Linked DNA regions of Schizosaccharomyces pombe. The main gene of each other region encodes a partner of the protein of the gene in region 4 in a complex. Each region holds a gene or a part of one and is shown on either strand. Other genes may lie near its edges. The genes, in order: mug178, nam9, mrp51 and mrp5.

What was found.
Region 1: mrp5 (region 4) and mug178 share a complex: the UniProt entries of both Schizosaccharomyces pombe proteins name them as parts of the mitochondrial small ribosomal subunit.
Region 2: mrp5 (region 4) and nam9 share a complex: the UniProt entries of both Schizosaccharomyces pombe proteins name them as parts of the mitochondrial small ribosomal subunit.
Region 3: mrp5 (region 4) and mrp51 share a complex: the UniProt entries of both Schizosaccharomyces pombe proteins name them as parts of the mitochondrial small ribosomal subunit.

The regions. Positions count from the first base shown.
Region 1 is NC_003423.3:3,446,006-3,450,267, reverse strand, and holds mug178 (mitochondrial 37S ribosomal protein bS1m), read left to right. Parts: upstream 1-2,043; 5' UTR 2,044-2,377; coding exon 2,378-3,055; 3' UTR 3,056-3,752; downstream 3,753-4,262. Other genes in the region: ade9 (trifunctional formate-tetrahydrofolate ligase/methenyltetrahydrofolate cyclohydrolase/methylenetetrahydrofolate dehydrogenase), read right to left, coding at 1-897, 1,165-1,301; AP-2 adaptor complex subunit Apl1, read left to right, coding at 3,936-3,962, 4,009-4,217, 4,255-4,262. UniProt on the Schizosaccharomyces pombe protein: Component of the mitochondrial ribosome (mitoribosome), a dedicated translation machinery responsible for the synthesis of mitochondrial genome-encoded proteins, including at least some of the essential transmembrane subunits of the mitochondrial respiratory chain.
Region 2 is NC_003423.3:3,727,645-3,730,933, forward strand, and holds nam9 (mitochondrial 37S ribosomal protein uS4m), read right to left. Parts: upstream 1,706-3,289; 5' UTR 1,645-1,705; coding exon 1,609-1,644; intron 1,556-1,608; coding exon 608-1,555; 3' UTR 551-607; downstream 1-550. Other genes in the region: rns1 (putative RNA-binding protein), read right to left, coding at 1-13, 61-166, 233-424; mpg2 (mannose-1-phosphate guanyltransferase), read left to right, coding at 2,173-2,213, 2,277-2,316, 2,417-3,289. UniProt on the Schizosaccharomyces pombe protein: Component of the mitochondrial ribosome (mitoribosome), a dedicated translation machinery responsible for the synthesis of mitochondrial genome-encoded proteins, including at least some of the essential transmembrane subunits of the mitochondrial respiratory chain.
Region 3 is NC_003424.3:4,111,436-4,115,460, forward strand, and holds mrp51 (mitochondrial 37S ribosomal protein bS1m), read right to left. Parts: upstream 2,224-4,025; 5' UTR 2,162-2,223; coding exon 1,250-2,161; 3' UTR 535-1,249; downstream 1-534. Other genes in the region: bbc1 (SH3 domain-containing protein), read left to right, coding at 1-227; RecQ type DNA helicase Hrq1, read right to left, coding at 2,380-2,498, 2,674-4,025. UniProt on the Schizosaccharomyces pombe protein: Component of the mitochondrial ribosome (mitoribosome), a dedicated translation machinery responsible for the synthesis of mitochondrial genome-encoded proteins, including at least some of the essential transmembrane subunits of the mitochondrial respiratory chain.
Region 4 is NC_003424.3:2,283,975-2,287,959, forward strand, and holds mrp5 (mitochondrial 37S ribosomal protein uS5m), read right to left. Parts: upstream 2,040-3,985; 5' UTR 1,820-2,039; coding exon 871-1,819; intron 744-870; coding exon 529-743; 3' UTR 508-528; downstream 1-507. Other genes in the region: rpl901 (60S ribosomal protein L9), read right to left, coding at 1-235; SPOM_SPAC4G9.19 (DNAJB family protein), read left to right, coding at 3,403-3,985. UniProt on the Schizosaccharomyces pombe protein: Component of the mitochondrial ribosome (mitoribosome), a dedicated translation machinery responsible for the synthesis of mitochondrial genome-encoded proteins, including at least some of the essential transmembrane subunits of the mitochondrial respiratory chain.

The DNA.
Region 1 (4,262 bases), on a different chromosome or scaffold from region 4:
ATATCAGAAGGAACAGGCTTCTTTAACTCTAAAGGATTTAAGTCAATTTTTCGATAAATGTTTTCTGTTCTAGCTATCTTGGCAGCGTTTACAATATTTTCCATTAGCATAGCAACAGTCATCGGTCCGACGCCTCCAGGGACAGGAGTAATGCTGCTAGCAACTTTGGATGCAGATTCGAAATGCACATCGCCAACCAAAACGCGTTTTCCATTTCTTTGAACAGCGTTTATGCCAACATCTACCACAACAGATCCTGGTTTCAACCATTCACCACGAACAAATTCGGGTTTGCCTAATGCTGCTATAACCAAATCAGCATTAGAAATGTGCTGAATTAAATCTTTAGTTTTAGAATGACAGACAGTTACTGTAGCATTGTCCTTTCTCAACAAGTAGCTAATTGGATTTCCGACAATGTCACTTCTTCCCAGAACTACAGCGTTCAATCCAGCGACTGAAATCTTGTTATCTTTTAATAACTCCATAATACCTTTCGGGGTACAGGGATAATGAATGGGGGTAGCATCATTCTTTGCCAATAAACCAATGTTAAATGCACCAAATCCATCAACGTCTTTCGGCGGAGTGATAGATTCAGTAACTGTACGCTCATTGAGATGCTTGGGAAGAGGAAGTTGGACAAGGACACCGTGAACCGTATGATCGTCATTCAATTTTTTTAATTCATGAAGCAAGGCAGGCATTTGGATTGTTTCAGGAAACGGGCAGTATTTAAAATCAATACCAACTAATCGTGCCGCCTTTTCTTTCATTCGAACGTACACGTTAGAATCCTCACGTTTTCCAACCTGTACAATGGCAAGCGCCGGCTTAAAGTTTCGATCCTTAGCTTTCAAGGCCTGCACTTCTTCAGCAACAGAACGTTGTAATTTTCTAATTAGTCGCTACATTAGTAACCTCAAAGAGAAATAAAAATATAAAGTTTTAAGAGCAAAAAAATCTGATGAAACCTCAAACGTGCTGCAATGCCCAATACAATTTTTTAACTTCTAAGTATCGACAAAAAAATTGAAGAATATACGGAATTAAGCAATGTACGCAAATCAATTTTCAAACCACCAAAATTTTATCGTCAAAGACAAACACAGAAATGCACGCTCATCTGCATAGAGAAAATTTAGAATATAAACTTTATCTTACCTTGCCAATAATTTTCCATTTAGGATATTCGCAGAACTTGAAGTACCATACGACTGAAAAAGCCATTTCGATGGCCGTAAGCTGTTGCTTTCTAGAAAATAGTTTCGTAATTGATTAAACGAAACCATTACGTTCATAGAAAGACACCCAGAAGTGGTAGGGTAGTAAGGGAACCTGCCTGTCCTCTGGTGGTGTGTTAAAGCAAAATTTTTATTGGTAGTCAGGTAATCTATGTTGAATAATACGCTTACAGTAGAATATGAACCGAAACATTTTAATAGCGATTGTATTAAAGCAATGTATTCATTCTCGTATAATTTATTCTTCAAGCTCGAATAGTGACTGGAACAATTGCATTATTGCAAATCATAATGTATTGAACAAGTAATAATATACCTAAGCCTTTGAGATAGCTAATAAGCACACAAATAGTCAAAGAAAAAGTTTAAAAATCTGTTACATGATATACAGAATCTCAAGATCAAATATAATAGACAAATATAAACAACAAACGATCTGACAAGCAACTCATTAATTATCAGTAAATAAACTTAGACTAGAAAAATCATATAGTTTAGTTTAGTAGAGATAAACTCATTAATGAACAAGGAAGAACACACAAATTTACCGAAAGTTAACCTTTATAAGTTTCACTTTTCTTATGATAGCCATACCTTTAGTATTACTAATTTATAATTATAAAAAAAATTCCCGTTAAATTTAATAAGTACAAGCTAAAATCGTACTCAGTCATGGTTTACTCGAGTGTAAACAATTAAAGCACTCTGTTTCTCTATCCAACAGTGTGCGAGTCAAGTAACATTGCTACTTGAGGAGAGTGAACGTTTACTACACAACATGCCGACATGACCTCCTAACGAAAGCGATTCTATAACTTCAAACTAGCTATTGTAACATTGGCCATAATTTTGTATATTAATAGAGAGAATTTCATCTCGTATATACTTTTCATGAGTGTGCACACTTGATGTAAAACACTTCGCAAGCTGGATTGCACGACAAAAGTATATAAATAGCTGGCATCAAAAAATTACAGTCGTATTCGTGTGTTTTCTGAGTGATTGCTATTGATATTGACAATATTGACTCATTAGAAGTACCCACTTTCGTTCAGCAGTTACTTTTCGGTGGTGGTTTACATTGGGCAGAATTTGGATGTTTCTGACAAAGTATATCTTTAATCAAAATTATAATGAAGTTTCCTGATTTGTTGAGATGCTCCCGAGCAGTTAGTTTAGCAAGACCAGACTTGCCGAGGAACTCCCCTGATGTCTATGATACGAAGATTCCCATCCTACAAGCAATTACTGCGAAGAAATGCCAAAGATTTCGCGGCGATTGGGGAGCTAAGAGGAAGTTACCGATCCTAAAAAACCGTCATATTTCCATACAAAAGTTTGACACATTCGAGCATCAGTGTGCCTTCATCAGCAGTGACAGATTCGTACGCACCTTGAAACGAATTTACGACCTTAAGCTCCCTGTTCCGCTTAATGATTATGAACAAATTTCCCCTTACCTTTTACAGAAATACAACACTTTCTCAAGCTCAAATCCTAAATCCAGACCTACACTTCCACCAGGTATATTATACGCCAAATTGAAACTTTTAGATTCTTTTTCTGATTCTGAAAAGAAGCGCCTAAGTTTAGTATCCTTTATTCAAACTAAAAAAGTCCCGTTACCATTTACTTACGGAAAATTTGCACCCGACTCTAAAGAATGTTTATTTGGTGTCTCAGGAGTTATAGCTGCTACTTCTCTCAAAGGAATTACTTCAACAAAAAATCGATACGTAATTCGATCTCTTAATGTCGATGAAACCGGTAAAACCATTCCAAATATCACACGAGAAAATAGGAGTATTTAATACCATAATACAAGTTGACATTGACAATAAAAAACAGTAAAACGATTATTTCTCCCGTGAGTCACTTCGGTTTTCTTAAAACAATAGCTTTTCTTTCAAGGAATTGTTTCTTAATATTGTTTTCGTCTGTTGATAATCGTCTATTATGAAGATCCATCCATATTTAACATTTATTTCATCTGCTTACGATCCTGAGTTTTTGAGTTAGGGAAATTAATTGCACGGACTACTTTCTCCTTGAGCTATCATGATATGCCTTTAAGATCATTAAATATTTTTAACCGTTATTTTGCATTGTAGTGAACCGCTTTTTTCTCCCTCTTTTTGTTCATGGAGAGATTCTATACACCTATTACTTTTTCTAGGAAATAATATTGTCAACAAGCTTGTTTATTATTCCCACCATTCTTGTTTAAAAAAGATTGAATTTTTATTGTTTGTTTTTTGAGTGATTTTAACTTATTTTGGTTCTTGTAATTTTCGTTATGGCCGTATCGCATTACTGGAAACCTACGATGTTCCTAAGGGTGTCCGTTTATATTGAACTCTGTTTGGTTTATATTATGTACGCACGTGCTAAAAAATTTGCATAAATAAATTAATAAGCTTATATCAATCAACGCTTCCCGACAGTGTATTAAATTGTAAATCCGATAAACTTTGTAAACGTCTTTTGAATTTGCTTCTTAATTACCCAGTTACTCTAGTACCTACTAAGAGATAAAATCGTGTTTTATTAGCAATCATTATTTTTCTTTTCTTCGTACAATCTTTTATTCAAGCATTTTACTGTAACTCGTTATTTTGCTTTGTACAATAACACTCAGTATTATACCACAATACATTTTGAATGTTAACACGTACATAGCATGTTGTTATAATGTCGAGTAGTTCAAGTCATTTTTCGGTAATTTAACTTTCATAAAATTCGGAATTACTAACTTAAACAAAAGTCTACCGCTGCTGATTTGCTAGCAGTCTTCAGCTCAGATAATAAGGACAAATCTGCAAACAAACGAATTTCTGCTTTAAAGAAAGCAATTGCAGGCATATCTTATGGATATGATATGAGTTCACTGTTTCCATCGGTGATATCTTCTATGGAATCTAATAATCTAGAATTAAAAAAACTATGCTATTTGTACTTGAAAATTTACGCGAGGTTTGTAAAAGTTTCTTTATTTTTTACTAATTGACAGCGTGAAAC
Region 2 (3,289 bases), on a different chromosome or scaffold from region 4:
TTATTCAATTCAGCTGCAAAGTTAGTGGGTGTAATTCATAAAAAATAAAAGCTCACTCACATTTTTTATAAATTGGCATGAAAATATGATCAATTAGTCCATAAATCCCAAATATTTCTGCTATATGTTCTTTAGTGACATTACGCGTCAAATTTTCCACAAGAATCTATTTTGCATCGTATTAGAAACGATTAGTATGCCTTAAATAACTAATTATACATGGAAAACGTACTGTTCGCAATGGTTCTTCTGGAGATCTGGAAAGCGAACTCGAGTAAGATCTATTCGAGGAAAAAGAATCACGACTACTAGACCGATGTGAGAAATTGGAAGAACGCGACGCTGAACGTCCAGATGGAGATCGGGTATTGTTAAATTGTCTTGTTGAGCTACGTCCACGATAAAAGGCCTCCTTTTGGTACATGAAAAAAGATGTGCCAGTTCTTGTATGTGTATAAGATTTGGTTACGTGGATAGCAGTAGACAGGGCAGTTACTTCATAGAGCAGGAAAACAAAAGTGGAAATCAACATAGTATTACAAAAAGCATAATTGAGAATGTTTTATATTTTATTACTAAACTTTTGAGAGGAGTTCATTTATTCGATTTATACGAGTTTCGTCAACTTTCCTTGACGAACTGGATACCGATGAGAGAATGCTTCTTTGGGAGAAACATTTCGTTTTTTATATAATTCAGGAGGTCCTTGATAAAATGATGCATCGCGTACTTTCTGCGGAATAAGCCGTCTGGCCTGACATCTAGCTGCTCCTTGCCGCATATTACGACTTCTGATATAGTATGTATAGGCTAAAGCGTGCAAGTCTTCAGGAAATGGAGAAGGAACTTCCGTTAAGCCAGGACGAGCAACTGGATCACGCACATAAACAAAGGAACAAGTGCGGAAGCAAACTTCTAAATAAGCAGGGATAAATGCCATTAGTGACATAAACGGTTTAGGAACAAAGTTGGAAATTGTTTCATTGATAGAGGGCAACTTTCCATTAGAAGTCTGTTCAAATAAATCATCATCATTATCCTTTTTTTTTTCATTTTCTCCATCCTTAGAGGACACCTGTTCAGTTTGCTTCCCATCCTGTATAGAAGGGGTATTGTTACTAGAGGCAGAAACACAATTCATTACTGATTTTTGATCAACAGTTACTAAATCACCAGGTAAGAGTTGACGATAGGCACGGCGTTCAGGTTTTCCGTTTACGTGCACTTTTCCATGAAGCACCAGTTGGCGAGCCTGTAAAGCGCTAGACGCAAATAACGCTCGATGAATAGACATGTCTAAACGGGATTCCAAAAATGCATAAGTCTGATTCATAAAAGGGATGGGAAGCTTATTATCTAAGGAAGAAATAACCCCCTCCAATTTTGGGCGGAAGGCATTTTTCAGTTGATATTCGCGTAATTGAGGACCATGATAAGACCTTGTTTCCTTCTTCGCATTCCATTTTTTTTGATATAAAGTTCTATTATTCAGAGCAGGTAGTTGTTTTCTTGCAATGTTGTATATATTGTATTTGTTCCACGACGGACGCAAAAGCTAGATATGTATTAATAAAAGCGAAAAAATCAATAATTTCATATATAACATACACCGCGCTTTAAAGAGAACCTAAATTTCCCCTTCATGAGCAATTAAGTCTTTGTCACGAGAGTCCAATCTTCCAGCGTAGTGCGTGAAGTTGATGGTAAATTCATAAAGGTGATTAAAGAGAACAAATTTTTAAAAAGGCTACTTTTACTCGAAAATTCAATTAGTAAATTTTATTTATTTAAGTTTTAATGCATTATAATTTGTACCAAAGCTAGAAGGTGCTTTACTATTTTCTGCAAAACAGCTGATGATGAGCATTAAGTTCCTCACGGCTGGCAAAGTGCCTCAGCCTGCAGCACAATTTTTAGATCATGGGTTTTTGAACTAAATTGATTTACATTAGTATTTCATTGTTACATAGAGTATTATCTTCTGCAGCCAGGCTATTAAGTGCAAATATGAACTGGCAGAAGTTAGCTCATAGCGCTACCTTCCTTATTAAACAAAGGAGAGCTGGACAGGACTTGCACAGAACCACACACCAAGTTTCAAGAGGCGTATATCTCTTTCGTTTTTGGTGATTTTGATACTCATTATTGATTTTTTAGTATTAAATTGCTATTATGATTTCCTCTGCTGTCATTCTGGTCGGGGGTCCATCTCGGTACGTACCAACGAAAAATAAGTCTATTAAACGCGTGAATATCAGTAACTAATTACTTTGCAGTGGTACCCGATTCCGCCCTCTTTCGTTTGATGTCCCTAAAGTACGTCTTATTTAGAATTTATATGTTGGTAAAATACGTAATCCAGTTTTACTTTCTAGTTGCATTTGAAACATAAGAGCTATTTTGCTAACTAAATTAGCCTTTGTTTAAAATTGGAGGACGAGAAATGATTTACCATCATTTGGCGGCTTTATCCAAGATTGAAAGTGTTAAAGATGTCTTTTTGGTTGGTTTCTACGATGAAAGCGTTTTCAAAGATTTTATCAACGAAGTAGCTTCGCATTTCCCCAGTTTCAATCGTATCAAGTATCTCCGTGAATACAACTGCTTAGGAACTGGTGGCGGCTTATACCATTTCCGTGATCAAATCCTTAAAGGACATACTTCTAATGTTTTTGTTATGCATGCGGATGTGTGTTGCAGTTTTCCCTTACAAGAATTGTTAAACGTTCATCACGAGAAGAAAGCTTTAGTTACTTTAATGGCTACTAAGGTTAGTAAAGAAGATGCTTCTAACTTCGGTTGCCTTGTAGAGGAACCAAGTACTGGGCGTGTACTTCATTATGTTGATAAGCCAAGCTCCTATCTTTCAAATATTATTTCATGTGGTATTTATATCTTTGATGCCTCTATATTCGATGAAATCAAAAAAGCGTACGAGCGTAGACTTGAGGAGGTCGAGAAGCAACTCAGGTCCTTGGATGAAGGAATGGAAGACTACCTCAGTTTGGAGACCGATGTGCTTGCTCCATTGTGCTCAGATTCCTCTAAAGCCATTTATGCTTATAATACTCCTGAGTTCTGGCGTCAAATAAAAACCGCTGGCTCTGCTGTTCCTGCTAATTCCTTGTATTTACAAAAGGCATATCATGATGGTACTCTTCCAAAACCCGACACTGAGGCTGAGATCATTCAGCCGGTTTTTATTCATCCTAATGCTATTGTTAGCAAAGGTGCAAAGATTGGACCCAATGTTTCAATTGGTGCTCGTGTTCGCATCGAGGATGGCGCA
Region 3 (4,025 bases), 1.8 Mb from region 4:
GTGGACAAAAAGGTACTCTTCGTTCAAAATACTCTCTTGAAGTTGGTAAGCCCATGCATTATGGTATCATATCAGAGTGGGATGTTTCGAAACTGAAGATTAGGGTGTTGGAACAAGGCAGAGAGTCCAAGAAGGTTTCAGTTGCAAGCTACAAATTCGGTGATTTAAAGAGTGGAGAAGTTACTGTGTGGCGTGTAATGCGTCGATCTTGGCTTGGTTGGAATTAATGGTAATTATTTTACTATGGTTTTAAGTTCTTATCATTTTATCACAAATAACTCAAACTTCCTAAAGAGCAGCACTCATTTTTTTAAATTGTTCAATTGCGAAGCAGATTTGAATAGTCCTTAATGATCGTCTGTCAGTATATTCTTTCACTGATATATCTTTGACGATTGGGATTATTTATATCATTTTTTGACGACACGCCCTATGTTTTTAGAAGACTTATATCTCGTGGAAGTTGTTTGCTGAATTATATTCACATATATACCAAAGATTGGGCTATGTGATTCAACTTTTGAAATATATATACACATCTACAGTCATTTTTATAGTATATGCTAATAATCAGTTATATCTAATTAAACAGTTGAAATGCACAATTAACAATGTATGGTAAAAGGATAAGATTTTGTAAGTTATTGAACTGTACTTAAAGACAATTTCGGAAAAAAAAAATCCTTTACAAAATTCTAACTCTTTTTTCAAACGCTTGCGCTTATATAATCAACAAAAAACATTTATTTCGAGGTGAAACCGAAAATAACGGTTAACTGAAATATATACCTAGTCAAGATTAACGAGAGTGACTTTCACTAACACCCAGAGAACAAGGATGTAACATTGCAAACCAAACAAACTTCTTAGAAAACACATTCAGTTCAAGTGTTATGACTGTTCACCAAAATGAACAACCGTCAAGTGCAAAACGCAGTTTAGGGTAAACTAGTAAATAGGGAAACAAATGGAAAGTGTAAGAGTCATTTGAAGCAATAGACCCATTATTGGTACAAGAATTTGATGCCACACAAAGAGAAGTAAGAATAAATAGATTGAAAGATTTTTTAAAGGAGAATCGTATGTCGTTAAGATTATTGCTAGTGGTAGATTGTACTGTGGGATAACAACAGAATATAGGAGACTTAAACGAACCTTCTTAATAATAAAAATGATAGGTTGTTAAATGCAACTTAAAATCGAGTAAACCATAAGGAGATAGCATAAATGCACATGATCATAAAGTCCTCTACGAATTAGAGAGGTTATCTTTCTCTGAGGAATTAGCTTCATTATTTGAGGTTTGAGAGGGAGCCATAAAAAATTTCATAATACCCCGTTGATAGGATACGGGAGCATCGAGAGATGAATCTCTTTTGGCTACCAATTGAATATCTCTGTTAAAAAACGATTCAACCTCCGAGTCTTCCGAGGGATAGGCAAGATGTGTTTCTAACTCGGGACCGGAAAAGGGAACTAGTCGGAGTCGACCATTTTTATAGACTGTATAAGAAATGCGCTGTTCCTGGGAAAAGAGGGGAGATGACCGATTTCTATTAAAGACAACTGTTCGAGGTAGCCTCAGAATCAAGCCCCCTAAACCGTAGTATGCAGTAGAGGCATCTGAACTAATTATATGGGCCGTAAGTCGACGTCGAATATTGGAACAATTTGATTCACAATTAGGTGTTACTCGAGAATTAATTAAAGGAACATTACTGTATTGAATACCGCCAGAAACTCCGTAACGGCGAAAGTTATCATTTTCGTCGGATTGTTTAGAAGGAGAAAATACCTTATTTATGTCACGCGTATCTTTCAACCCCGTTTCTTTCAATAATTCTTGCAACAAAGCAACTTCAGAAGGATCTCGTACAAATCCAGCATCAAACCAATTGCGAACTAGACGAACAAATTTAGCGCTTGATTGAAAATCTGCTTGCTTGTATAAGGAATCTTGCTGCCGCACACATATGTATCTTGTCTTTATTTTTGGAAGAGTCCTTTTCAGTCCCCAATCACCACGAGCTCTACTATTTTTTTTTGAAGTTATGGATTGCAATCGAGGAAACCGAAGGTGTGATGTTGAATAATTGGATTCTGGAAGACATTTTGGAGAAGCCATTGCCCTCGAGCCACGGAGAATTTGTGCAAAACTCATATTTTTACAAAAATTCAAGATTTATATTGGGACTTGGCTTCTATGAGGAGAACGGTGGCTGTACGGTAGTAAGCACTGAGCGCTGTCAGTATCTAACATTGACTCCGGTAAGTTAGGGTAGGGTTTAAATGTAAAATCAAAAAGCACAACGCAATATTAGTAGTACTAACTAATAATTTAGTCTAATATAAACAAAATAAAAAAAATAAATTCAATTATTAACAAGAAGGTATTAAAGTTCGCAAAGCGTGATATGAATCAATCTCTGGTCCATCAGCATATATATCTAAATTTACATGTTGACACAGTAGCATTTTCAATAAGATTAAAGCGCCAACTGAAAGAAATATGTTAGTAGAAGTAATGTGAATAATCTATTTAAGTTTGCAAGCAATCCCTTTTCATTTGATCATAAAAAAAATGAGAGTGTTATCTTACAAACTACTAAGCGACCAATCTATACGGGATTGCTTCACCGTCCAACAAAAAATGCAAAGTATATCTATACTTACCCTTGTCAAGTACTTCTCCAGAGCAAACTCCGCCTTCAAATTTTGAACTCGTAATACATCCGGGACAACCTTCACGAACTTTGCAATCGCAACTCTCAATTCGCTCAATGGCCATTGTAATTAATTCATCAGTATGTTCATATGCCTTGTTGCATAAACCAGCACCAGATGAATCACCACAATTATCATAGAAAATGAGTCGGGAAGGACGTCTTCGCTCGCTTTTAGCCTCTTTATACTCCTTTTCACCCGCTTTACATTCTGTTCGAATATCGTTACCGCTGTTACTAATAAAAATTGGCATCAACGAAAGTAAAGCATGTTGGGCAGCATGTATACTAGCGGCTCCATTTATTTTTTTTAATGACAAAACCTCAATGATATGCCAAGGTACATCTATCCAGAAACCTCGACTATCAATTTCAACAGGATGATCGGTAATATCTACCACGTCCAGAATATCTTTCTGCTTGTTAACTTTGAAATACCCAAATACATGTAATGTTGCTTTAACAGCCCCAAAATAAATGTTTGTACTTCCATGCATAGTCTTCTTCATTAAGCTGCGAACAGGATCAACATCTGTGAAATCTCTTTGCAATGTTGACCATTCAACATCAACTTGATGAGCAGTAATAATTCTCTTGTTAATATTTAGGAGCCTAATGATAAACGTTTTTCCTTGATAAACATAAACTGCACCTTCGTAAGCAGTTAATGCAACACGAAAAGGTTCGAGGAGTTCTAGAATAACATTCTTATCATTTGTGACATCGACGAGAGTAAACATGTCTTCACTAACGCTTCGTATCCGTACCTGCGAGGCAGGAAAAGGAAGATATTTTGGATGAGGCCGATAACTCTCTTCAACCATTTCTAAATTTGCTTCGCAAATGTCTTGAATTTGATTTCCAAAAAACTTTTCGTCGCTCCTTATGTTAATGGGAAGCTCATATGCAGCACACTGAAGATGACTCGCTAGTAATACCTCATTTGTCAAGTCTAAAGTGAGTTCAGCATTTGGTTGAGTGTGAATCAAAATAGGATGCTTTAAATAAAACTGATCAACGGGAAATGTCTCAACTATATATACTGCTAAGGAAGACTTATTCCTTCTACCAGCACGACCAAATTGCTGGCGCAAGTTAGACAAAGAATATGGAAATCCTATGGTTATAACGGCATCCAGTGATCCTATATCAATACCTAGCTCTAAAGCATTCGTCGCAATAATCCCATATAATTTCCCGTTAAACATTTCACTCTCTATCTTCCTGCGTTCCTGAACCGTATACCCAGCCCTATACGATTGAATCTTAGATAAAAGATCTCCTTTTTGTTTGGTTTTTAAT
Region 4 (3,985 bases):
TCATGTTGTTAATGATAGAATAGACGGAACGGATGCAAGCATTATGTTTGCGAGATCCGTGCCAGACAATGAACTTAATAGTATTGCCTTGCTTCTTCATTTCAATATCAACATGGCGCAAGTTTTGCTTGAGAGTACCACGAGGACCGGTAACTGTAACATTACGTGCCTTAATGTCAACAGTAACACCCTTGGGGATTGTCAAAGTCTCGTCCTTGTATATATCACGTCCCATCCTGCAAAGTGTTGGTGGTGTCGTTAATTTTGTCTAAGATAATTTCCGTTTCGAAGGCCTGTGACTGTACTTCTTAGCTAGGGTAGGGTTGAGTGATAGGAGTTTTGTAGTACGTTATAATTAACGAGCTTATTCAGACTTTAATGATGTACGATGTTTAAAGAAATAATGATACAAATTGGATGTAGATGAATATCTTGCACAACAAAGCTGCACAATGGTTTCCAGAAGTAAAGAATTAGAGTACTGACTGCATTGAATATTTATCTATACAAAAAATAAAAGTCACTTTATCATGTTTGTTTGTAATACTCGCGTTGTACATCAACAAACTTTTGGCCGCGCTCCATGGCAATATCCTCAGGGAGACGTTGACTTTGTAAAGCCTCAAACATCGCCTTTACAGTATTCATTCCATTCTTAGAACCAAGTATCTCACCACTAATATCCTTTATACCTGCGCATCTACAGATCTCATGAAGGATGGGGTTGCATCGAAGTCCAAAACCTATATTTAGTTAGTAAAATTGTCATTGCAGGACAAGTAAACATGTCGAATAAAACTAATCGATAAACAGAAAACAGAACTGTCTAAGCTTTTAAAAGATTATTTATAGAACAAATGAACAACATACCGGCTGGACGAGATCGTAATGTTAACCGGACAGCATGAAATTTTTTATGAATAACGCCATATACAGTCCTTTTATCGTAGCGAGGTATGTAAACCATATTTTTAACAGCACGTCCACATGATTGTTTGTATGCTAATGAATAGCTTTCGGCTTTTCCCTCACCAAAACCAGCAACACCATTTCGATTACCGACAACAGTCAGTACGTACATACTGGCAATTTTTCCCTTACGGGTTTGATTAACAACACGTCTTCTTACAAGGGGAACGAACATTAAGGCTCTGAGATCTGACTTTGGGATTCCACTAATATCCGAGAGAAACTCAGCGTCACTTGTGCTCTTACCAGCATCGCCAAAATCAAATGGGGAAAACTTTGAAGAAATTTCAAACGTGAGGTCATCTTTAAAATCCTCCCACTTATCAGGAATTTCCCCGTTAGACTCCTCCGATCCTAAATGAGAATATCCATCTAAAGGAGTGACATATTTATCCAATTTTGATACATAGTTCAATTTCAAACCAGTTTGACGTGGTGCTGTAGACTTTTGGAGTGCTTCAATGGCTAGAGGATGATTACGAATGTAGTTTTCATAGAAAGGAAGGTGATCTTTGAAACGAGACTTTAACTCTTCGATAGAAACATCTTCATTAATGTCGTTAAAAAGCTTGCTGAGATTTTCTACCTTTTTTGGTGATAATGGGGAAGTATTTGACGCAGTTTTACCTTCAGATTCACTCTCTCTTGGTATAGACGATGAGTTAAATTGTTCCTTGGTTTCATTCTTGGATGATTCCTCTACGGATTTTTCGTTTAAATTGGAATTTAATTCCTTTTTGGGATCATTCTTAAAAGAGTTAAGATGTACGGTAGTTTTATGGAAACACCGAAAATAAGTTGGCTGCCGCCTCGAGCCAATTTGTAGAAAATGTGAAAATGAGCGTAACATCGTAATTAAATCAATAAAAAAATTATTTTTTAAGTTATGATCATGAATTTTTAGTGAACCTTAGCAGTGAAAGTAAGAATATTTCCTGGAATCGCTTTATAAAAGCCGAACCACCTATATATTTATTGCACTTTGCAACCAAGGGTGTCACTAACGCTATAAAGACGGGAGGAAAACCCTAAGAGATACTCAGTCAAAAAAAAATGCTATCGATGAGTTTAAATGCTTTTTGAATCGCACAAATAAATTTATAACTGTCTCAGCCGTGAAACTACTTACCACTTTGGCATTGGTTGTAGTTAGGGCGCTTCGGTACGATTCGCTACTGTTCCTATTTAGTAGTGGTATGGACAAAGTACATAAAACCGCACATCACTTTCTAGGATCAGCTCGTCTTGTAATTCTGATTTATCGTCTGGTTAACAACTCCTTTTTTTCTGAGTTCTCTCTCTTGATTTCCTTTCATCATCCTCCGTTTACAAAGAACGCTTCTAAGGCACCCATTTAATGTAGTACATTCGACTTCATAAATATGAATACGGTGCACGAACTACAAGCAAATATACGTAGTTAGCGATGCAATGAACAATTTGAAATAGCTCATTATATTTGTAAACAAGCGGCGGCTGAAATTGTACATGGAAGAAATGAATTGAAAAGATCACTGATTTCAACCTAACTATATGATTAAAAGGATACATGATAGGCAAAAGAGAAAAAAAAGAATCTTTTAAATAAAGCAAAATAATAGTCACTTCCATATTATCCTCAAAATTACTCTTCGGCAAATTTTTTTAGTACTTAAGATTCTAGAAATTTTTTAAAAGAAACAACAATTAGGGCAATCAAGATAGTTAAAGAGCAAGCGTGGACCAAATTATCTTTTAATCCACGGCAAACCTGTAATTTTGAGAATTACGAACGGAAAATAAATAACGTATTTCCAAGGTAAGTCACCAATGCGACGCTATTCAACGTTGTAGGTCAAAGAAACGCGAAATGCAAACAAACAAAAAACACCGTGTAGCAAGAATTGTGTTGTACGATTGAAACTAAAGATCTTCTTTTTCAAATCTATCGATAAAAGAATGATGCGTCTTTAACGAAGGAAAGGCGTCCTTGAAAGGCAATAAAAAAGAATTTCCAAAATATTTCAATTCGTTTGCGATTAAATTTTGTATTTTCTTAAAAGAATATTAAAATAAAAATAAGTTTGTTATTACTAAATACCATTACTCTAAATCTTTACATTTTCCTGCGTTTCCTTCTCATTCGTTGGTGCAGCTCAACAACTCTGCGATTCGCCCACGTAGTATAGCAAGGGCACGAAATAGGGATAGCAGACGGATATGGTACCAACTCTTGAAATATTTACCAAACCAGCTTCCTTTTACATATCCAGCTTTAAAACTATATAGAACCAGAGTATCTTGCGGTTTTTACTTTAAAAAAAGCAGCGCTCGATCAGCCGGTTTGCATTCAATGAAGCAACATTGATATCTTACTCAGTTGAATATTAACTACATAAAAGCTTCCATCGTATCCAGAAACTAACGTCGCCTCTGTTGGAACAAGTTTTGAACATGTCAAAGATATTTTTTCGGTTAAATCTTGTGCGAAATAGCTTATGGAGGCGAGCAGCCAGTTTTACTTCCTATTCCGAATTGAAGTCATTGACGCCTTATGAAATTTTGGAACTACCTCGTACGTGTACGGCTAATGACATTAAACGAAAATATATTGAGCTGGTTAAGAAGCATCATCCTGACAAAATGAAGAATGCATCTCAGCTAGCGCCTACGGAATCTCCGCCAGAAATTAATAAGCACAACGAAGAGTACTTTCGTTTATTGCTGGCAGCCAACGCTTTACTATCTGATAAGAGACGTCGTGAGGAATACGATAGATTTGGAATTCACTGGAATCAGCCGTCTCATCCTACACATCCCTCGCCTCAAAATTGGTCTCAAGCGAGGTATCCTACCTATTCAAGATCTCGTCGTTCTGCTGGTATGGGGTCTTGGGAAGAATACTACTACAATTCCTATGATTATATGAATGACCAAAATGCTTCTAATAAAAACAGAAAATTTGACGATGAAGGCATGCTTGTTTTTGCAGGCATATTGTCTATCCTTGTCATCATCAACATCTACTCTAATTATC